Linked DNA regions of Schizosaccharomyces pombe. Each later gene encodes a partner of the first gene's protein in a complex. Each region holds a gene or a part of one and is shown in the gene's direction. Other genes may lie near its edges.

The links. The genes of interacting proteins can lie anywhere in the genome.
Region 2: tif301 (region 1) and sum1 share a complex: the UniProt entries of both Schizosaccharomyces pombe proteins name them as parts of the eukaryotic translation initiation factor 3 (eIF-3) complex.
Region 3: tif301 (region 1) and moe1 share a complex: the UniProt entries of both Schizosaccharomyces pombe proteins name them as parts of the eukaryotic translation initiation factor 3 (eIF-3) complex.

The regions. Positions count from the first base shown.
Region 1 is NC_003423.3:3,311,045-3,319,976, forward strand, and holds tif301 (translation initiation factor eIF3a), read left to right. Parts: upstream 1-3,286; 5' UTR 3,287-3,293; coding exon 3,294-3,332; intron 3,333-3,377; coding exon 3,378-6,137; 3' UTR 6,138-6,408; downstream 6,409-8,932. Other genes in the region: histone acetyltransferase complex subunit Nto1, read right to left, coding at 1-1,836; DNA primase large subunit Spp2, read left to right, coding at 6,739-6,904, 6,963-7,158, 7,358-7,949, 7,993-8,418; proteasome regulatory subunit Rpn2, read right to left, coding at 8,839-8,932. UniProt on the Schizosaccharomyces pombe protein: RNA-binding component of the eukaryotic translation initiation factor 3 (eIF-3) complex, which is involved in protein synthesis of a specialized repertoire of mRNAs and, together with other initiation factors, stimulates binding of mRNA and methionyl-tRNAi to the 40S ribosome.
Region 2 is NC_003424.3:5,356,659-5,363,306, forward strand, and holds sum1 (translation initiation factor eIF3i), read left to right. Parts: upstream 1-2,265; 5' UTR 2,266-2,297; coding exon 2,298-2,360; exon of another isoform or gene 2,361-2,415; coding exon 2,416-2,536; exon of another isoform or gene 2,537-2,892; coding exon 2,893-3,695; 3' UTR 3,696-3,846; downstream 3,847-6,648. Other genes in the region: F-box/WD repeat protein Pop2, read left to right, coding at 1-584; rer2 (cis-prenyltransferase), read right to left, coding at 734-844, 900-1,116, 1,163-1,422, 1,535-1,741; met8 (siroheme synthase), read right to left, coding at 3,914-4,673, 4,845-4,879; protein Csi2, read right to left, coding at 5,250-6,648. UniProt on the Schizosaccharomyces pombe protein: Component of the eukaryotic translation initiation factor 3 (eIF-3) complex, which is involved in protein synthesis of a specialized repertoire of mRNAs and, together with other initiation factors, stimulates binding of mRNA and methionyl-tRNAi to the 40S ribosome.
Region 3 is NC_003424.3:4,549,530-4,556,543, forward strand, and holds moe1 (translation initiation factor eIF3d), read left to right. Parts: upstream 1-2,310; 5' UTR 2,311-2,321; coding exon 2,322-4,025; 3' UTR 4,026-4,212; downstream 4,213-7,014. Other genes in the region: gmh5 (alpha-1,2-galactosyltransferase), read left to right, coding at 397-1,440; Fe-sulfur cluster assembly ATPase Nbp35, read left to right, coding at 4,586-5,539; rex1 (putative ribonuclease H70), read left to right, coding at 5,894-7,014. UniProt on the Schizosaccharomyces pombe protein: mRNA cap-binding component of the eukaryotic translation initiation factor 3 (eIF-3) complex, which is involved in protein synthesis of a specialized repertoire of mRNAs and, together with other initiation factors, stimulates binding of mRNA and methionyl-tRNAi to the 40S ribosome.

The DNA.
Region 1 (8,932 bases):
TCCTTCTGTTTTTTGTGCAAACTGAACCATGGCAGTTAATTGTTCCATATCATCAATACACTGTATTACACCATCAACATCCCAAATAGGCTCAAGTTTCTTTTCTAGAGAGCTAATACTGCCGATCTGATAACTGAATACTTGTCTTTTTAATTCAACCCACCCAATCCATCCATTATCGAGCGGCATATTGAAAAGACCATCGACATCGAGATCTATAATTTTAACAAGGGTATCCTGTAATAACCGTTGAGCAGGAAAATAGTTTAAATTCAAAAATTTTTTTCTTAAGTTTGATAATTGACATTTTAATAATTGCCGTTTAGCAGTAGATTCTACAAGAGTAAGCAATGATTGATATTGATCTTGTAGAGCCTTCGCTACTTCTAAAGACCTAACGCGATCTTTAGAAGCCCTCACCGGGAGATTTTCAAGACTATCCATAAGGAGTTGCGATTTAAGCAATGGCGCATCCTTTCGGGATCGGCGTTTCATGTGATAAAATTTGCAGATGTCAGTTACTATGGAGGGCAGATCTTGCCTTTTAACATTATAAGACAATAAAACTTTGGTAACTTTATCAACAATAAAAGCCGGTAATGGATGCGATTTCCATGGCCCTTCGGGCACAAAATCAGGCGCTTTAGTAGCTTGGAAGTTGAGTGGAACGTCTGTAGCCATGCGTTTGTAATATAATTCAGCTAACGGAAACAAGCGCTTCATCAATCCGTTTAAATAATCGGGTGGAGTATGTTTATCACAATAAGTTTCCATATCAACACTATCATAACTTGCAGAATGTGAGTATATTTTGTAAAAAAAACCTGCACGTCGAGCACAAGTTATATGGTAAGCTGCATAACAATTTTTATCTGAGCATTGCACACAAGTACCCCATCGAAGTTTACAAATGCAACACACCAATTTCCAGCGAGACTTTGGGATTGAAGCAATGTTTCGAACCAAGTCTAATCTACTAGTGTCGTGAAAAGATATTTCAGGGATTGCTATGGCGCAAATTGTGTGGCACCAACGTCCATCCAAGGTTGTGCAAAACGCACCATCTCTGTCAGGACAAAAAGCACAGCATATAACTTCATGAGGGGCTAGTAAACATTTCTTACAAAACCATTGACCCTCTGGAACAAAAGGGATTCCATAACAATTCTGGTGAACAGAAGTGTTACAGTTATCGCAAAAAACTATAGCATTACTGTTTTCGCATTCTGCTTCATTACAAATAACACAACGACCATCTAGTTCATCCTCCACTCTGACGGGTTCAATCTTAGGCATCCAAGCCTCTAGATAAAGCCATTCGCGTTCAATAATGGTAAGAACTATTTCTAAAAATTCTTTAGAAACATTTTCCCACTCTGAATTAGATGAAAGTTGAAACTCATTATAATATGTTAACCACATTGTGTCTAACTCATCCAAGTCGTAGGATACAGGAAAGGACGTTTTTGAGTAAGGATGTATAGCAACGAACTTGAAATATTCGTCTGGACTCCAATCTAATTGTTTCGCAGTTTTATATCCAAATTTTTTCTCTTGTGGATTAATATTTTCCGTTTGAACACCTACTGGCTTTACGTTTTCGATCTTGGCATTGAGCAAAGCTTTAAGCACATAAGAATTCTCGGATTTATAGGTTACTAAAGAATCACGAAGGCCTGCATATTGTGTATGGTCACCTTCTAATATTTCCAAAGGTTCGTCTATTTGTAGGTCTGGATGGAAAGATTTATAGGGAATCTCTTCTCTCGGCTGAAAAGCAAGTTCATCGGGTCTTAGAATATTTCGACCAGTAGAAGTAAGTCGGAAGGTTTGCATGAAAGCCTTTTACAAGATAGATTTACCATACTATCTTTTTTACATTTCTTTCATGGTGTAACTATATTTACGAGAAAAAGGTGCAATTTTGCTTAAACTTCAATAGTGCATTCTGCCGCTGATGATTAAGCAGAATAAGCGGGGGTAACGTGAATGACCGAAATAAAAAGATGATTGTAAACAGTTGAACTCTGAAATGAAAATAGTTTGGACATAGGAAGGGGTAAATTTATTCTTCCCGTTCTTTCTCTTTTTATATTTATTGGTGTTGTTTTCAAAGAAAACCAGAGGAAATTGGAAAGCGTGATTTTGCATTTTACGGAAATGTAAGAGTTACAATTATATACAGTTGATGTGAAAGTACAAAGATTTTCGAGATGCTTGATAAAAAGCCCTTTCAAGAATCTTTGTGAATAGTTTATAAGCTAATATTTTTGTACCCGCCATCAACGAATACTTCACTTAGTTTATTCTTCTAGAAGTCTAACATTTACACCAATCACAATTAAATTGCTTCATCAAAATGGGCCTCTAGAGTTTACCTAGCGTCGAAGAGATTGAGGACTTAGCGTTTTTTAACAAAAAAATCTTTCGGAATACATAGGGTTATGACCTCTTTATTATAATACTTTGACAAACTATATTCGCTAAATCTTTCTTCCTTTATTCAAGCTTTGAGTAAAAGTAATGCGAGTTTCTGCTACTTTTCAAGGATAACACTTTAAATTTTAGATTGGCTCGGAAAATATTTCGCTCAAACCACACTTCTTTCACTGGTAAGGTCTCAACGTTTATATAAGTTTGTTGCCAATTGTAAATAAGAGTTTAGACAATGCTACAAGTATAAAACAATGCATAAGCCCTGATGAGGAACTCAAGCGAGTATCGACTCAACGGCAATAAAGATTATTTTAAGAACTAACTAGTTTTATCACCAAATACATCAAACAAAGAATGGACTTGGTGATTAGCGTAGAAACAGATCTACGGCTAAAATTCCAAAACTATAACGGTACTAATATTTCTTGGATGTACATTGTGTAACGATAGTAATTAGTAGCGGCAACAGAAAAATCTGACTACTATCCCATAAACGTTCAAATAAAAGCAAAAATAGAGCTTTCCTCTGTTCTAAACTGAACTGGTATTTTTTAAACAAACATGATAGATTAACGAGTATGTTAGCACTTCACACTAGGCGATCTATTCAAATTTAGTCATATTATCGTATTCGGTAAACCACTAATTTCTTTGCACAAAAAGTGATGCTTATTCAAGTCAAACCTAAGAAAGATATGAACAACTAACTATATATATATGCATGTGCTAACATTTTTTTTTGCAAAATCAAGAATTAAGTACCTCTTGTTTAGTGGCTTATATAAAACTGCGAGGTAGCTCGCTATTCGTGTAATAAAATTTTACTACGACAAGGGGGAAGTTTTCAACTGCACAACATGGCACCTCCTCAAGGAAAGCCCGAAAATGTGCTAAGGGTATGTATTATGAGTTTTTTACTTACTTTGACTAACATAAATTAGCTTGCCGATGAGCTGATAGCTCTAGATCAGCACAGCTCAGCACTGCAATCTCTTCATGAGACTATAGTTTTGAAAAGATCAAGAAACGCGCAGGGGTTTTCTCTCGAGCCTATTATGATGCGTTTCATCGAACTTTGTGTTCATTTACGCAAAGGAAAAATTGCAAAGGAAGGCTTGTACACCTACAAGAACGCAGTTCAAAACACCTCAGTTACCGCTATTGAGAATGTAGTCAAGCATTTTATTGAACTTGCTAATAAAAGAGTTCAAGAAGCTCAGGAGAAGGCAGACAAGATATCAGTTGAATATGTTGACGATCTTGAGGCTACTGAAACTCCCGAGAGCATCATGATGTCTTTGGTTTCGGGAGACCTTTCCAAGAGCCGCACAGACCGTGCTTTGGTCACTCCATGGTTGAAATTTTTGTGGGATGCTTATCGTACAGTTCTTGATATTTTGCGTAATAATGCTCGTTTAGAAGTAATGTATCAGTTAATTGCTAACTCTGCATTCCAATTTTGCCTCAAGTATCAGCGTAAAACCGAATTTCGCCGTCTATGTGAACTCCTTCGGTCCCATCTTGGCAATGCTTCTAAATTTTCAAACGCTCCACACTCTATTAACTTGAATGATGCTGAAACTATGCAGCGTCATCTGGACATGCGTTTCTCTCAGCTAAACGTTGCTGTTGAGCTTGAACTCTGGCAGGAAGCTTTCCGATCCATTGAAGACATTCACAGCTTGCTTACGTTCTCTAAGAGGGCTCCTGCTGCAGTCATGCTTGGCAATTATTACCGTAAATTGATTAAAATCTTTTTGGTTTGTGATAATTATTTGCTTCATGCTGCAGCTTGGAATAGGTACTTCACATTTACAAATGTGCAAAAACCCGCTACTGCTAATTTTGTAATTTTAAGCGCTCTCTCTATCCCTATTATTGATGCCAACAAATTATCGGGCCCTTCCATTGAGGCAGAAGATGCCAAGAGCAAGAATGCTCGTTTGGCTCTTTTGTTAAACTTATCGAAAACACCTACGCGTGAAACATTAATTAAGGATGCCATTTCTCGTGGCGTTCTTTCTTTCTGTGATCAGGCTATCCGTGATTTGTACCAGATTTTGGAAGTTGAGTTTCATCCATTGAGCATTTGCAAAAAACTTCAGCCTATCATCAAAAGATTGGCAGAAAGTAATGATACTGCTCAATACATTCGTCCTTTACAACAGGTTATTCTTACTCGTCTTTTCCAACAACTGTCTCAAGTTTATGATTCCATTTCATTGAAATATGTTATGGACCTTGCTACATTCGAGGAGCCTTACGATTTTAACCCTGGTCAAATTGAGAAATTCATTATGAATGGTAACAAGAAAGGTGCATTTTCTATTCGTTTGAACCATATTGAAAATTCCATTAGCTTTTCTTCTGACTTGTTTTCTAATCCCATTAAGTCTTCGGATTCTGTTTCTCTTCAATCTACTCCATCTGAATTAATTACATCTCAACTTACGCGGATTGCCAAATCCCTTTCTAGTGTTTTGATGCGTTTTGATACCGATTTCTGCCTTTTACGCAAGCAACAAGCCGAGGCTGCCTACGAAAGGGCTCAGGCTGGTGTTGAACAGGAGCGTAAAGCGGTCATTGCTCAGCGTAGTCTTCTCGAATTACGTCGTGGACAGGCTGATACACTTGCTACTCAACGTGAAGCTGAGCTTGCTGCTCAACGCGCTCTCAAACAAAAGCAAGAATCTGAAGCCGAGTCTCTCCGCGTTCAAGAAGAAATTAATAAACGTAATGCTGAAAGGATTCGTCGTGAGAAGGAAGCTATTCGCATTAACGAAGCTAAAAAGTTGGCCGAGGAGCTCAAAGCTAAGGGTGGATTGGAAGTCAATGCCGAAGACTTGGAGCATTTGGATGCTGATAAATTGAGAGCTATGCAAATCGAACAAGTCGAAAAGCAAAATAAGAGTATGAACGAACGTTTGCGTGTTATTGGAAAGCGTATCGACCATTTGGAACGTGCTTATCGTCGTGAAGCTATCCCATTGTGGGAAGAAGACGCAAAACAACAAGCCGAACATGACCGCGAAATCTTTTACGAGAGGGAGAAACAACGCAAGGAAGTACAAGAGCGTAAGCATGAACAAGCCATTAAAGACAAAAAGGCTTTTGCTCAATTTGCTTCCTATATTCATGCCTATAAGCAAAATATTGACGATGAACGTGATAAAGCATATCAGGAGGCATACGCCAAAGCTAAAAATGTCATTGATGCAGAGCGCGAAAGGCAACGTAAAGAAATTTTCGAACAAAAATTGGCTGAGGCTATTCGCGAAGCTGAAGAGGAGGCTGCTCGTGCTGCTGAGGAAGAGGCAAACCGTGAGCTTCATGAGCAAGAAGAAGCTCAAAAACGTGCTATCGAGGAAAGAACTCGTGCAGCTAGAGAAGCTAAAGAACGCGAACAGCGCGAAATGGCTGAGAAATTGGAACGCCAAAGACGTATTCAGCAAGAGCGTGATGAAGAAATATCTCGTAAGCTTGCCGAGAAAGCAGCTGCTAGAAGAGCAAATATTGGCGCATCTTCACCTAGTCCTGGTGCTTGGAGGCGCGGCGGTGCTAGTGCTGGCGGTGTTTCACGAGACTCTCCAAGGTATTCTCGTGGTGGCTACTCTCGTGGTTCTGTTCCTCCTCGTGAGACCCTTGCTCCTTCTAAGGGAGCATATGTTCCACCAAGCAGACGTAATCAACAACAACAGTAGTAAACCTACTGTCTATAAGAAAATAAACCTGTCGACAATTAATTATTGTCGCAATTGGATATTGGAGTCAAGTCTTTACGATGCATTATCTAATGTCACAGCTGATAAATTTAAATGAACTAATGTGTTCTCCTATTGAAAGTTGTAAGTTCCTTTTTCTTACAAGGGTAGTTGGTTACTTTCATGCTATTGGAATTCATGAAAGCGGTTATGTGTATAAAAAGAGCCTTTTGTAGCTCTATTTAATAGATAATTATCGTTAACCTTTGAACTTTTTTTAATTTGTATAATACTGCTTAAAGCTTGACTTGTTAATTGTAAATGTAGAACGATACTAATCGAATAAAGATGTTACATGTCAAGTTTATAAGCGACGATGAGTTTTTACAGTTGACGTTTCTGTAGTATGCATTTCTCATTTCAATAATTCTGAATACAACGAGTGAAGAAATAATTCATTAATTATTAGCAACGTGTTTTGTATTAGTACCAAAAAGGTTAAGCAGCTTAAAATATTTGTTTAAAGACACTCAAAGTAAAAAGGTTTCTTGGTGAGAGGCACGACAATTTGTTACCGCAAATAGACTCTTCGCTAACCACCATGTTCAGAACGACCAAAAGTCGAGTAGTTGAAAAGAATCAAAATTTTTCTAGTGCTAGTTTTGAGAGTTTAAGTTATCCTACGCGACTTAATTTTTATAAGAAACCTCCTGTCTCTGAAATAAGCATTGAAGAGTTTGAAACATGGGCAATAGACCGATTAGTTGGTATGCTTTCCATTTTCTTTATTATTTTCTATTCTTTTGGAGTAAGCTAACTATTTAGTTTTGGGTGAAATTGAGTCAGCAATGCTCCGCAATAAGACGAAAAATGAATTGAACGGGATTATAAAAAAGATACTGGATAAACGTCTGCCGATGAGTAGCAACATGGCTAGGACTGTAAAAGGAAACTCCTTAGATGAAGAAAGAAGGAAAGATCATTATTCTCATTTCATTCTGCGCCTGGCTTTCAGCAGATCGTAAGTAAAAATGTGCTATATTTGAGTGCTGTCTGTCGAAAAATATCTCATTTAGACTTATAAATGCGTTCGCGTTATGGCATAAGTAGTAAATTGAACATAAAGTGGGTATCAATTTGCTGCTTCAGTTAAACAGAAAGCATTATATATATGAATACATTTAAACTTGCTTTTATTCTTTTCCTAACGCATTCATTAGTGATGAATTACGAATCAGGTTTTTAAGAGCTGAATCCACGTTATTTCGGTTTCGATTTGTGAATGAGGAAACCCGAGAACGTCAAGCGTTTATAGATAGTCTTGATTTTCAATGGGAATCTGTTTCACAAGAAGAAAAAGACGTTTTTTATGAAAAGCTACAGGCTTCTTCTCAAAGAAATATAGAAAACGAATCTTTCTTCAAAGTACCTTTTTTTAAAGTTCCGGATTTAGTAGAACGAAGGGCTGTTTTCGTTCACAAGGGATACGCTTACGTACCATTTTCGGAACAAGTAAGTCTAGTTGTTGAAGAGTTTGAAGAAAACTTAAAAAAAGCGCTTGAGTCTACCGCAAAATCTCTTCCTAGGCTTGATGAAGACGATCGTCTTTTGCCAATTCTCAACCATTTGAGTAAAGGATTCGTTGCTCCCGAGAGTTCAATAGTTGCTCCTAAATCTGGTGCTATTACTGCTGGACAAGTAGACAGTTTTGTTTCACATTTTCCATTATGCGCCAAACATTTACATGAAGTACTTAAGCGTGATAAGCATCTACGGCATTTTGGCCGTCTTCAATATGGGCTATTTTTAAAAGTATGAAACTTATTTTTTATGTAGTAATTTACTAATTTTTCAGGATATTGGCCTTTCTGTCGACGAAGCTTTGGTCTTTTGGAGGAAAAGTTTTACAAATGTAACAGAAGACAAATTTAACAAAGAATATCGCTACAATATTAGACATACTTATGGACTTGAAGGAAATAGGAAAAATTACAAGGGTTATAATTGCCAGCAGATCCTTACAGGGCCTCAACTTGGTCCTGGAGATGCCCACGGTTGTCCTTATCGTACATATTCAGTAAATAATCTAGTGTCAGCATTGGCTTCCATGGGAATAGCACCGGATTCTGCCGGATGCCGTGAAGTTGTTGAGGCAGTTAAAGCGAGGCATTATCATATTGCGTGTACGCGTGTTTTTGAGCTTACTCATCCAAATGTCGGTTCGCTGGAGGAGAGCATTCACCATCCCTTACAATATTTTCAACTTAGTTTAGAATCATAAGCTAAGATACTTTTAGTTCACGATTATCATAACACATTTCAATTTTTGTACAATAGGTATTGAACACTTTCAAAATACATTTCATAGCTATAATTCAAAAATCTAATTACCGGCAGGCTGGTTATATAGATGAATAAGCATTGTTACTAATAAAAGGCAATAATACCAAATCAACGTAAAAAACATGATATTTAATTTAAAAAACGTAATTGAAAACTTTTTAAATTTATCATCAAAATGAAATTGTCTAGCAATCTTCCGAACACTCAGTTCCGTAGAATAAATACGTTAACTTCAAACTACAAGTCTATTAACATATGAAAACGTTTGTATTTAATCTGAAGAGATGCAAGTAACAATCAAGATGTTCTTACAAACGTATATGGTTTTTTGAGACTAGCAGGATGTACTTCTGGGAATCTAATCATCATCATCAAATGGGTATTCAAAATCTTCAGGAGGAGAGGCCTCCTGTTCACCAGGCTCTGTATCTGCACTAGCAGGTACAGCGTCT
Region 2 (6,648 bases), on another chromosome or scaffold:
TACGAACTATATCCGGCTATGGTGATATACTTGTGAGTGGGAGTTATGATTCTTCAATTCGCATTTGGAGAGTTTCAACAGGGGAATGTCTTTACCATCTGCGGGGTCATAGTCTTCGTATATATAGTGTTTTATATGAACCAGAAAGGAATATTTGCATAAGCGGTAGCATGGATAAGTCCATTAGGGTTTGGGATTTATCGACAGGGACTTGTAAATATGTGCTTGAAGGCCATGATGCCTTTGTTACGCTTCTTAATGTATTCCAGAATAGGTTGATATCAGGTTCTGCTGACTCCACAATTAGAATATGGGATTTGAATACTGGGAAACCATTAATGGTTTTGCCGTCTAATTCAGGCTACATTAGTAGCTTTGTGTCAGATGAACACAAAATTATTAGTGGTAATGATGGTTCTGTAAAGTTATGGGATGTTAGGACTGGAAAGCTGTTACGTTTTCTATTAACAGACCTCACAAAAATATGGCATGTCGATTTTGATGCTATGCGTTGTGTGGCTGCAGTGCAGCGTGATGATCAAGCATATTTGGAAGTTATTAATTTTTCCGGATCAAGACCGTAGAAAGTTTCATTTTAACAATATTTAAGAAGACATAATTAGAGTAGTGTCTAACTATTTACATCAGCTACTAACACATATTAAATGTATACAATGTAAAATTAACAGCCAAAGCCTATCAAAAGTAAATAAGTAACGAAGGATTGAATAAATTATGCTGGTTGGTTTTGTAACTGGTATTGAATTAACATTGGGAAAAACTTCCAGATAGAAAAATCCGGCCAGTAGAAATCGATGAATTTTATCTCCGTATTTTTGTGACACTGATAAAATTAGTTGAATATCTTTGACTAGAAAATTAGGAGAATTTTTACTTACCTGCCATAACATAAAATCAGATAGACGCTCCACACCGCTAGTGCGAATCAACAAGTCTAAAGGAAGACTATCTTTTATCAATAGGTTTTTTTCAAATATATCTTCATCTATATCTTCTGGAGTGATTGTACCATCTTCTGCCATTTTTACTATTGATTGCACAGAAGTAGCAATTTCATGTCGAGAAGTGTATGGAAAGCAAACATTTAATGTTGCCCTAAGATGTCAATTAGCAAAATAAAAATTTGAAAAATTTCACATACTTTGTGTTATGTTTTGTAATTTCCACAGCCTTTAGAGCAGTTTCTAAAACGTCAGGTTGCAACCTGCTAAGATCGCCAACAATGCGAATACGGATCCCATACTGATCAACCAAATCACCATGAGCAGTAATTTGCGTTAAGCTGTTTTTTGCAATCTCCATTAACATATCAACTTCATATTTAGATCGCTTAAAATTTTCAATGGAGAATGTGAAAGCCGATACTTCTTTAACTCCTAACTTCAGACACACTTTTAATAGCTTACGCAGGGTTAGTTAATGTACCAAATTGTGCAGAACGTAGACGGATACCAATGCGCAAAACATGGAGAAACGGTACGTTTAACCTTCTATTAATGTTCTTTAAACTTACAGATTTTAAAGCTTCAAAACCTGAGCTATGACCCTCGATAGTTTCCATCCTTCTTTGACGAGCCCACCGTCGATTGCCATCCATTACAAAGGCTATGTGTTGTGGTACTTTGCCACGTTTAATTGTATTTATCATCATCGTTTCTAATTGATCAAGTGTCCATTGTAATGGAGGACAGTGAATAAACCAGCCTGATAAATTACCCATATTGTCAAGATATTTTGTCAATTCTTTTCTTTTCCTTTATAAATGCACGCTAAATATCAAAGAGAAATAATTATCTTGATAAACAATTATTTTCAAAAAACGATTAGATGTTTTTGACGCTTCTATAAAACACTCAGGTTATCCGGTTCTAGATATGTTTTATAAGTATAATTACCAAGCACGCTAGAAAAGGATTTTTAGCTAAGGAAATATACTTTCAATCGTAAACGAATGGAACAAAGAGACGCTAGTTTAAGACCAAACGCTTTTGTATTTTTTTTTAAAAATCACGAAAGAAATATTATTTTTTGTACAAATAAGTAAGACAGACAAAATTCAAACAAAACCACAAAATACTGTTTTCAAAGTGAGACGTGCGACCTTTGGGTCTAACTAGTCTAACGCAAGTGTCTCAGAAATGAAGCCAGTTCATTTAAGAGTGTCGTTAAGCCTCCTTATTTTTAATACCATCCTTAAGTTACGCTAATTAGAATCAAAATATTACAACTAAAGACTTTTCGCTCAAACCCTCTACCAGCACTTTCCTGTTCAAAAGATGAGGCCTATCATTTTACAGGGTCATGAGCGTCCTTTGACTCAAATAAAATATAATCACGATGTAGGTTTAATAACCGTCCATTATATGTGGAAAATTTACTAATTTTTGTGTGTAGGGTGATTTATTATTCTCATGTGCCAAGGATAAAGTGATTAATGTCTGGTTTTCACACAATGGTGAACGCCTAGGTACATATGAGGGTCATACTGGTGCAATTTGGACTTGTGATATTAATAGTACGTGAAAATTGGTGGTGATGTATGTTGGATTAAGACATCTAAAGGTATACGGATTATGGAAGTATAAGGAAACACGAATAATGAAACATATCATGACTCTAATAAATGTATTTTTTTTATTAGTCGTCCGATTGCAGATGGTTATACTCGTGATCCACGATTCTGAGTTGGCGTAGTACTTAAAGTTAAATATGCATGGTGCATCTCCTTTACTTATATTAATGCTACGTTTACCTCACTTCACTTCCTCGTGGAAAGCATTTAAACTTCTTTTAAATCCTTTTCCTTCTTCTTGATGCCTCAAATCCAACTAGATCATCTGTTCCTTTTCCAATGGTTACTAACTGAAACAGAAAGTAGCACTTTAATGGTTAGTGGAGCCGCTGACAATACCATGCGTCTTTGGGATGTTAAAACAGGAAAGCAGTTGTACAAGTGGGAATTTCCTACTGCTGTCAAACGTGTTGAGTTCAACGAAGATGATACCCGTATTCTTGCTGTTACCGAGGAACGTATGGGTTATGCTGGTACCGTCACTGTTTTCCGTGTTCCTATTTCGGAAAGCGATGCCGCTGCTGAAACCCCCCTTTACGTTATTACTACTCGTGAATCTAAAGCAACGGTCGCTGGATGGTCTTACTTGAGCAAGTTTCTCTTTACTGGTCATGAAGATGGCTCCGTTTCCAGATACGATGCTATAACCGGAGAATTCGTTGAATCTAAACAAGTTCATAATTCTGGTTCTACTATTACTGATCTTCAGTTTTATCCTGATCGTACTTACTTCATCACTTCTTGCAAGGATACGACTGCTAAAGCTATTGATGTTGATTCTTTTGAAGTCATCAAAACATACCTTACTGATACGCCTCTTAATACTTCTAGTTTTACTCCTGTCCAAGACTTCGTTATTTTAGGAGGTGGTCAAGAAGCCCGTGATGTTACTACTACTGCTGCTAGACAGGGTAAATTTGAAGCACGTTTTTATCATGCGATTTTAGAAGAAGAGTTAGGCCGCGTTAAGGGTCATTTCGGTCCTATCAACACAATAGCTGTCCATCCCAAAGGAACCGGTTATGCTAGTGGTGGAGAAGATGGTTATGTTCGGGTGCACTTCTTCGATAAAAACTACTTTGACTTCAAGTATACATTGTAGGTTAATTTTATTCAAAAAACTGTTGATAGTATAGTAATGGACAACGGAACTTTTTTCCAAAGATGTATCATTTTCGTTTAGGGAGCATTATATGAAAAATAACCTTCTATGAGTACAAGAGTTTTTTAATAAATTCCATTCAAAATTCAAATGTTTTAAAGTGAAAAGTAATGTAATTGTCATATTCCGTAAAGCAACTAACTTATCAAACGCTTCTTTTAACGAGCTTTTGAAACATGTTTGAGGAGAACAGCCCCAGAAATTATAATTGCTCCAAACCATATGTAGTTGTCTATCTTGCTGTAGGCTGGAGTCGTTATTTCTCGATAACTAGGTGTTTTTTTTGGGAAGTATCCCAAAAGTCGGTTGATGAGATTTTCGTCGAGCATGGCAAGTTCCTCCAAAGACCACAGTTCGCAAATCTCAATCATCCATCTCATTCTTTTGCGACTGTTTTCAGGTTCGGGAACAATGTCTCGTAATTTTTGTCGTAAAAGGCCAGTTTTTTCCAATGCCATACCAGTAGCTGGATTGATTGAACTTTCGATTTTTTTTCGTATTAAACTGGCAAGTTTTGGACCTTTACCATTGGTGCTAACCATAATTTGTAGAGGGCCGTTACGGATTTCAGACCCAAAGTAGAAATCACATTCAGGTGGAATATCCGCCGCATTGACCGGGATTTTTTTGCTTTTGCATAACTTATAAATTTCGGAAGACAAGCTGGGATCATCTATGGCTGTAAGTACCATGTTTACATCGTCAGACAAATCTTCGACTAGAAATCCCCTGTCTCGCCATTCAACTTGCTTCTCCTGTATTCTCCAAGCCACTTCTTTACAAAGACCAGCTTTTGGACTTACAACGATAACATGGGCATCCGCATTCAAAACATGCAATATACGCCCAGCTGCCACAACGCCACCTCCAACAATTAATACTTTTTTACCTTGTGCACGCCAAGCAATAATTAATGATCTAAAGCTTAGATTAGCCTAAAAATTACCTTGAGATACATCAAAAAACTTTGCTAGCTTTCATTTTGTATGCTTTGCTAATTTTTCAATTCTGTGTAGATGAAAGTTAAGATACTAAAAAGCTGAAAATGATTTATAGAGCCTTGTAACTTCATAAAGATGCTTGACTTACCCACCAGGCTGCACAGACTGATATTTTGAAGCCATTATTCAAATTTTATCTTAACCAAGTGTAGGTGTTCCTGTATACTTGAGAATTATAGTATCGCCAATTACAATTCGACATTCAGTATCTGCTTCCCTATACGGGTTAATAGTTGGGAATCCTATTACGCGTATACTATTCGTTTATTTAAGACCTAAATTTTCCAGTGAATTAAAACTACCTTGTGAATAAAATCCCGAGGACGTGCAAATTTTTGAAACTATTTCATAGCACCAACTAAGCATATTCCTATACATCATAGATTAATTAATATGCTAAATTTATATATTTTTTTCATTGACAAGAAATATCCATACAAAAGTAATAGATGAAAGTGGCTCTTAGACTACTTAGTCGTATTTAAATAAGACGTTAAAATTCTTCATTAATCTCCTTACCATGTATACCAATGTGGTATAAACAAATTTGCGACGTCAAAGATTCATTTTTTGAAAACGCCCTGAACACAAATGTGTTAAAATAAGCTTCTTCCAGAAGGCCAGGTGTGTCCGAGAATTTTGGAAGATAGTAATAATTTACTTCGAACACCGAAGACAAAGAAACAGGAATCGTGGCAAGCAAAACCAAGTTGTTCATGTTGCTTAAAATTTGATAATTGATATCATTGATAAGCCCAAACATTTGGATTTCACGCGGGAAATAAGAATCATCACCATGTATTGGAAAAATTAGTGAAATATGTCGCACGTACATTGGTCGATTTAAACGCACAGAAACCTGTACAGTATCTTCGTAATTACACCAATTACTATTGATGCTTGTGTCAAGTAAAGCCGTCGGTAGATTTGCTTTTTTTCCCCAGTAATCCCTTAAAATGTCAGAAAATTTAGGCTTAGGAAATGTCCATCCGTAGTCCACGACAGCACCAACAACTTTCAAGGCAAAGTCCGGGTGATCAGCAACATTTCTCTGGGAACAAGAATGTTTTATGTATTTTTCAACTCTTTTTTCTAAGTTTGAATTGAGTTTTTGATGAACAGATTCCTCAAGGTCTTTATGATAATAAGAATATGTGGCATCAAACTGCTTCGCCAAAAGATTTTTAGCAGCATCTTTTTTTAAATATAAACCGGAGTTTATGATTGAAAAATTGGTGGTCGATCTATTGCCATAAAAAGACTGTGATGAGTTGTGTCGCTTTACAATATACATAGCTTCTTTAGAGCTTTGAGCAATGTTCCGTAATATATCTTTCAAACAAAGAATATCAAGATTGACACTTTCGTGTAAATCTTCAATGCAAAGTAAATTAAAAATAGACTCTCCATTGTTAATTCTCAGAAAGCCCCGATACGAAGGATTTCGCAATAAATTGTAATGTTCGGCAAAAGAACAAATGGCTTGAACACTCTTATTGACTAATGAAATCGGGATGTTCCCAGGGTGTTTTTCGGAAACAGGCAGATGCGACACTAGGTATATGTCTTTTTCAATAAAATCTAGGTAAGTGTTCAGTAGAGGGTTAACAGAATCATTTATATCCTGTATTTTAAGATCATAAGTACTCATTAAATTTCTATCCCAAAAATGTAATAAAACATCTTCAGGGCTAATTGGATTTTGATAAAGAAGTGTCTTTGCCTCTGTAAGGTTTGACTGTAGCTTTAGCAATGGCATTATAGAATCACGTTCATTATATGTTGAAGAGGAATTACCAAATTTGGATTTAAACAGAGATTTCGCTTGTTCCAAGTGTTTGCCAAAACTTATATTAAAATTTGAAGGAATGAACCGAAAAGGAATTCTGTCT
Region 3 (7,014 bases), on another chromosome or scaffold:
CGTCAAACCATGAGAAATCTGTCAGAGTCTTTGCAACTGACATATTTTATGGAAAATTTCTATCGCTAATTTATTTAGCATATCTGAGTAGATGAACGCGAGAATAAAAGTGCTAAAACTTTTTGAGTAAACAAATAAATAAAATTATGCAATCAGAATCTACTTAACTTTACCGACGTTATCGCGTACTTTGGCTATTTACTCGACGACAAGGCTATGCCAGCTTTGATACACTGGGACGTTACTTGCTCACGACTTTCGCCTTTGCCAAACAGCCTAGTTCTGTGTGAAACCTCAAACGGCATTGCCGTAGTCATATTATCATTCGAAAATATATAATTTAAAGGTTAATAAGAAGAATTAACGTAAACGTCGAGTCTTATATTATATTAAAAAATGTGGAACCCCAAAAAGAAGTCAGAAGCATTAGCTAAGTTTAAATCCTTTCCTTACCCTAAGCCAGGCACTTCCAATGTACTTGATTCCAAAGAAGGTGATACTAGAAGGAAGTATTTTACCAAGACGCATCTACATAGGTTATTCGTCTTTGTGGTACTGTTGCTCTGCTCAGGCTACTTTTTAAAGCATACACTCTTGACGCGTCCCAAAGAGAGTAATGTTGTTATGATATTTGTCAATAACATCGGAGGTGGCGTTTTAGATGTAAAAAGTCCCAGACAATGGGAGCTGGAGAAGATTTCAACGGAGAACAAGAAGAAATACGCTGAAAGGCACGGATATCATTTCTTTGTGAAGAGCACAGGCTTAAAGAGACGATATGCTCATGAATGGCGTGAATCTTGGGAAAAAGCAGATTATATCATGGAAGCCATGAAGAAATACCCTCATGCTGAATGGTTTTGGTGGGTCGATTTAACAACATTCATCATGGAACCTCAATATTCTCTTGAAAAGCTTATTATTAACAGACTTGACCATATTGCGACCAGGAATATTACTGATAGCATGGAGTTCAATCCAAAAAATTTCCACGAAATTCCATTTGTTGACTATAGTGAAGATATCAACTTTATTTTAGGGCAAGATTGCAACGGTTTCAGTTTGGGTTCTTTTCTGGTTCGTCGAAGTGATTGGACTAGCAGATTGATGGACTTCCTTTGGGATCCAGTAGTCTATGGGCAAAAGCACATGGATTGGCCTCACGATGAGCAAAATGCAATTGAGTACTTCTACGAGAATAATGCTTGGCTTCGAAGCGGCATGGGATTCGTTCCTCTTCGCCTTTTCAATTCATATCCTCCAGGTGCTTGTGCTGGTGAAGGTGAAAATCCTCGTTTCTTTTATAACCAAAAAGAAGGAGACTTCTTGGTAAACTTGGCAGGCTGTAATTATGGAAGGGACTGCCTAGATGAAATAAATCATTATAAGGGATTAGCGCAAAGAAAACGGGGTTGGAGGAAGTTAGTTCCGTTTCTTTAATAGAGACCTCACATATTTCCATCATTATTATTAATATTTTAAATTCATACTTTATCATTCTTTTTCCTTGCGTGTGCTAGGCTGTCAATGCGATCCTTTATCATGTGATGCACTAAACTCTCTCCTTTGCTACTTAGCAGCTTTTGCGGTCATTTAACACTGCTTAATATTTGGTGCTTTCCGTTTTTATACATTAATTTCTTCGCAAACAATTGTTTTAATAGGATTAGATGTGTATATTTTTTATGCGACATGTGATGACAGAAAAGAGAGAATGTCTGAGAACCTTGGCGTTCATTTTTTTCTTTCTTCAAAAGACAGCGTTGACGAAATTAAAATTTTCTAAAACATGCTTTTGTCAGAAACATTTAAGCCTTGAGACAATGACTATAAAGGCAAAGTCTGATGTCGTAATCAGTTTTAAATTATAGCATAACATATCTTTTATTTCAATATCAATTTCTCCCATTTTTTAATTTAATAACATTTAGTGCTGATATAACCTGCTAGTATGATAAAGTAATTCTACCTACTATAGTTTTATAATGTAGTGAGTGGTTGAGATTTCCACATATCGTCTTCTGAATAGGCATGTGGGTTCACAAATAAAGAAGTAGTTTGATAAATACAGTAACATATACTAATTGTTAATAGATGTAGTTTTTCTACAAATATAGCACCTTGATTGCAAAAGGAAATGTATAACATTTAACTTTTTCACGAACCAAAAAGTATATATATTACATTTAAGTACTTTTGTATTACAAATAAAGCTTTAGAACTTCAAATATTACCATTGTTGGCTTTGGTGTTTTAGCGTCTCCCAGTTCGTTTGCACACTATACTGGCGTCCACTTCGAAGAAAACTTCACCACTCCCAAATGGCAACTGGATTTAAATTGCCTGAGTTAGCACCCGTAAAATCAGCATGGGGACCTCCTGAAACGGAACAGATAGGAGGTGATATTCCTTATGCTCCTTTTAGTAAAGGTGACCGTCTTGGAAAAATTGCAGATTGGTCTGTTGATCAACCTAAAGATGGACGTGAACAACGTGGACGTCAAGGAGCATTTGCTGGTCGTTTCCGTGACCAATATCAAACTTATGGTTATGGCGCGTCGTCCATTTTTGGTTATCAGCATTCGGAGGACGAATCCAGTTTCTCGGTGATCGATCGTGGTTCTGTCAATCGTACACGCACTTCCGCTCGCAACGGCGGCACTTTATTGAAGGTTCGCGGTAGAGGACAAAACGTTCAACGAGGTGGTCGTGGCGGTCGCTACGGTTCTTCTGGTGGAAGAGGTGCAGGTGATACAGTGGTTTCTAGATCCTCAGGCGCTGGAGGAGCAAGAGGTCGTCGGTTTGGTTGGAAGGATTATGATAAACATCAACGTCTTCGCAACGCCAGTGTTACTGTTGGTGACGACTGGCAGCTTCTTGACGAGGTTGAGTTCAGCCATTTATCTAAGCTCAATTTAGCTGCTGCTGCTCCTGTTACTGTGGATTCATATGGTTATATTTATCCTTATGACAAATCTTTTGACAAGATTCATGTTAAATCAGAAAAACCATTACAAGCCTTGGACCGTGTTCATTACAACCCTACCACTACTGAAGACCCCGTTATCCAAAAACTCGCTCTTAATAGTGATGCTAACATTTTCATTACGGATTCCATTTTGTCTTTATTGATGTGTTCAACTCGCTCAGTGTATCCCTGGGATATTGTAATTACTCACCAAAGTGGAAAGCTATTCTTTGACAAACGTGAAGGCGGACCTTTTGATTATCTCACTGTCAATGAAAACGCATACGATTCTCCCATGGACGCTGACAACCGCGAAGGTGTTAATTCTCCTGGAGCCCTTTCTGTCGAAGCTACGTACATTAACCAAAACTTCTGCGTCCAAGCTTTACGTGAAACCGAAGAAGAGAAATATAAATTACCTCATCCCAATCCCTTCTATAATTCTAAGGAAGAAAGTGAGCCATTGGCTGCTCACGGTTATATCTATCGGGATGTTGATCTTTCTCTCGAGACAGACGAAAAGCCTGTTAAGCTAATGGTTCGTACCGAAGTTGACGGTTATGTTAAAAATCCTGCGAACGATGTTCAATACATTTCTATCAAGGCTCTTAATGAGTACGATCCCAAATTTACAAATGTTACTGGTTCTGTGGATTGGCGTTCCAAGCTCGAAAGTCAAAGAGGTGCTGTGTTTGCCACTGAAATGAAGAACAATAGTTGCAAGCTTGCCCGTTGGACTGTCGAAGCTTTATTGGCTGGTGTTGATAGCATGAAGGTTGGTTTTGTCAGTCGTTCAAATGCCCGTGACGCTCAGCACCACGGCATTTTGGGTGTTGTAGCTTATAAGCCTGCTGATTTGGCTTCCCAAATGAACTTAAGTTTGTCTAATGGTTGGGGTATTGTTCGTACTATTGCAGATGTCTGTTTGAAAATGCCTGATGGAAAATATGTCCTTGTAAAGGATCCCAACAGACCTATTTTACGCTTGTACTCTGTTCCACCCAACACTTTTGAAGAAGCTGCTGGACCCTCCCTTGAAGCTTCTTCTACTGCTTAAAAAGGACGGATGTAGAAAGTTCATTAAAAAGGTTACATGTATAATACTCAATTACATGTGCAAATCTAAGATCTTTAAATCGGTTTTATATTTTCGGTTTCTTTATTTTTTAATCTTATGAACTGTTTCTCGGTAAATTAGAAGCTAAGTGTAAAGTAATGTATTTGTTGGAATAGTAAAAATGAAGCGAAGGAAAATTAAGTGCCGTTTAATTCATTTGGAAATATCTGATTTTCGATGCTTCCAACGTGATTTTTTTCATGAACATTGCTTTTAACACACTTTAGGGTATTACGGTAAAAAAATTAGAACTCGATTAGTAGAAAACCGATATAGCTCATTGCCACTAGCCAAGAGATCGTAAAACGGTTTCAAGCTTAGTCAGAATATTGTGGTAAAACAAGAGGTAAAGCTTTTAGCAAAAATTCGTTTGAAGAGAATTTACACCGGATTACACTTATAATTTACCATACGTGGTTTACAAAAATAGCTACTAAAAGTTCACTAAGCACGTGAAATAAAGACTTTTACTAAGCATTTGCTTTAATATTGGCTTTTCTATGCAAATCCAAGAAACTGTTCCTTTAGATGCACCAGAGCATTGCCCCGGACCGTCATCTGAAAATGCAGGAACTGCATCAGCATGTGAAGGATGCCCTAATCAACAAATTTGCGCTTCAGCACCTCGTGGAGAAGATCCAGATTTACCATTGGTTGTAGAACGCTTGAAAGAAATCAAGCACAAAATTCTTGTTTTATCAGGTAAAGGAGGTGTTGGAAAGTCCACATTCTCTTCGCAATTAGCATGGGGGTTATCGCTTGAAGAAGACAAGCAGATCGGGTTAATGGACGTGGATATTTGCGGGCCTTCAATTCCGAGAATAATGGGTGTTGAAAAGGAGGAAGCCCATCAATCAAGCAAAGGCTGGTCCCCTATTTATGTATGCCCTAACTTGGCTGTTATGTCAATTGGATTTTTATTACCAAGCGAAGATTCATCTGTTATATGGAGGGGGCCCAAAAAAAACGGGCTGATCAAACAATTCATCAAAGACGTTAACTGGGAAAATTTAGACTATTTGATTGTTGATACTCCTCCGGGAACTAGCGATGAACATTTATCTTTGGTTCAATTTTTTAAAAATTCCGGAATTGATGGTGCTGTTGTAGTTACTACTCCTCAAGAGGTTGCTCTTCAAGACGTCCGTAAAGAAATAGATTTTTGCAGAAAGGCGTCCATCCCTATCCTTGGATTAGTGGAGAACATGAGCGGTTTTGTATGTCCTTCTTGCAAAGGCAAGTCTAATATATTCACTATTACTACAGGAGGAGGTGAAGCGTTAGCAAAAGAAATGGGACTACCATTCTTGGGTAAAATTCCTTTGGACCCATTGATTGCACGTTCATGTGATTTTGGAAAAAGCTTTATTGATGAATGTCCTGAATCGCCTGCTTCCGAAATTATCATTGATATTATTAACAAAATTGATGAGAGTTTACAGAAAAGGCAATGAAAAAAATATAAAAAAAGGTTGGAATCTGCTTAATTTCAATTTTTTTGTATAATATAAAATACGTTTATTCAAATATTTATTGAACCTTCTGAGTATATTCCTTGTATATCCTCATTGAGCACTTAAAGTAAACATGTAGTCATTGTGACATTTTTTGGATTAAAAAGAAATTTGAAATCCTTAGTTAATGGATATAATACAAGACAATGCTAAAGCCTGCAATTCAAATAAAAACTCGCAATCAACATAAGCACATTAGTATTCCGAGGATCTGAAGATGCATTGCCCGCGGAATAGCCGACCACCATAGTGATACCACCAAAATAAAAAATGTCAAAGATGGGATCCTCAAGCATGGGTGAACTTCAGGATGGGATAACCCAAGAAGACTCCATTGAAAAAAAGTCAAAGAATGTTGCTTCACACGGAGAAAAAAGGAAAGTGAAGCGAAAAAAAGAAGACCTAAGTATGGATGGTTCAAATGATGGAGTGAAAGATTCACCAGACTCTAATGACGACTCTCAGAGTAAAAAAAAGAAAAAGAAAAAGTTAAAAAAATCTCAGCAACCGCTAAATGAAGAAAATTACCCTAGATTGCAAACTACGGAAAACAATCTTCAAAAACCCCTAAAAATTAGCGACCTACAAGAGCTTGTATTCTGGTGTTTAGCTGATGGACAGGCTCCTTCATGGGTTCTAGTGAGAAATAAACAAATGATTCATAGAGCAGTGATACTTTTAGTTCCTGGATTGGAGCCTAGTCAATTTGGGTTTCAACCCGTGCGCGGCAACAAGCACTCATTTTTGCTGCCGAATTTGCTAAATGAAAATGGCCCCATTCAATTACCTGATTTTTGTGAAGTGTTTGATCGCGCATGGCCTACGAGATCTCCTGGAGATCGATTTCGTGTCTTTTCTCCGGTGAATGCCTTTTTGCAATCTCCTCTGAGTAATGAACAAAAGAAGAAAAGAGATAAAGAAACACGTGCTATGGCTAGTTTTTCCAAACCATCTGATTACTTAATGAGTTATGAATCTTTCATTGAAGACGAATACCCATTACATCCTACTGTCATGAAGGGTGAAGAGGTTACTCAGCCTTCAGGATGGGTTGCTTCTGCAGGAGATTTTCATTCTCCTCCTATAAATCCCAAAATTCTTGCTATTGATTGCGAAATGGTGCGGACTGAGAACGGGTTAGAAATAGCCAGAGTAACTATTGTAGACATGAAAAGTGAGGTTATTTACGACGAATTTGTAAAACCAGAATCACCCGTCACTGATTATGTTACCCAGTATTCTGGCATAACTGAAGAAAAACTGAGAAATGTTACTACTGTTCTTTCCGATGTTCAATCTTACTTAAAAAAGACTGTGGACAACAATACCGTTCTTTTAGGCCATAGTCTAAATTCTGATCTTAATTGCTTAAAATTTACACACCCTCATATCATTGATACGGCAAACATTTATAA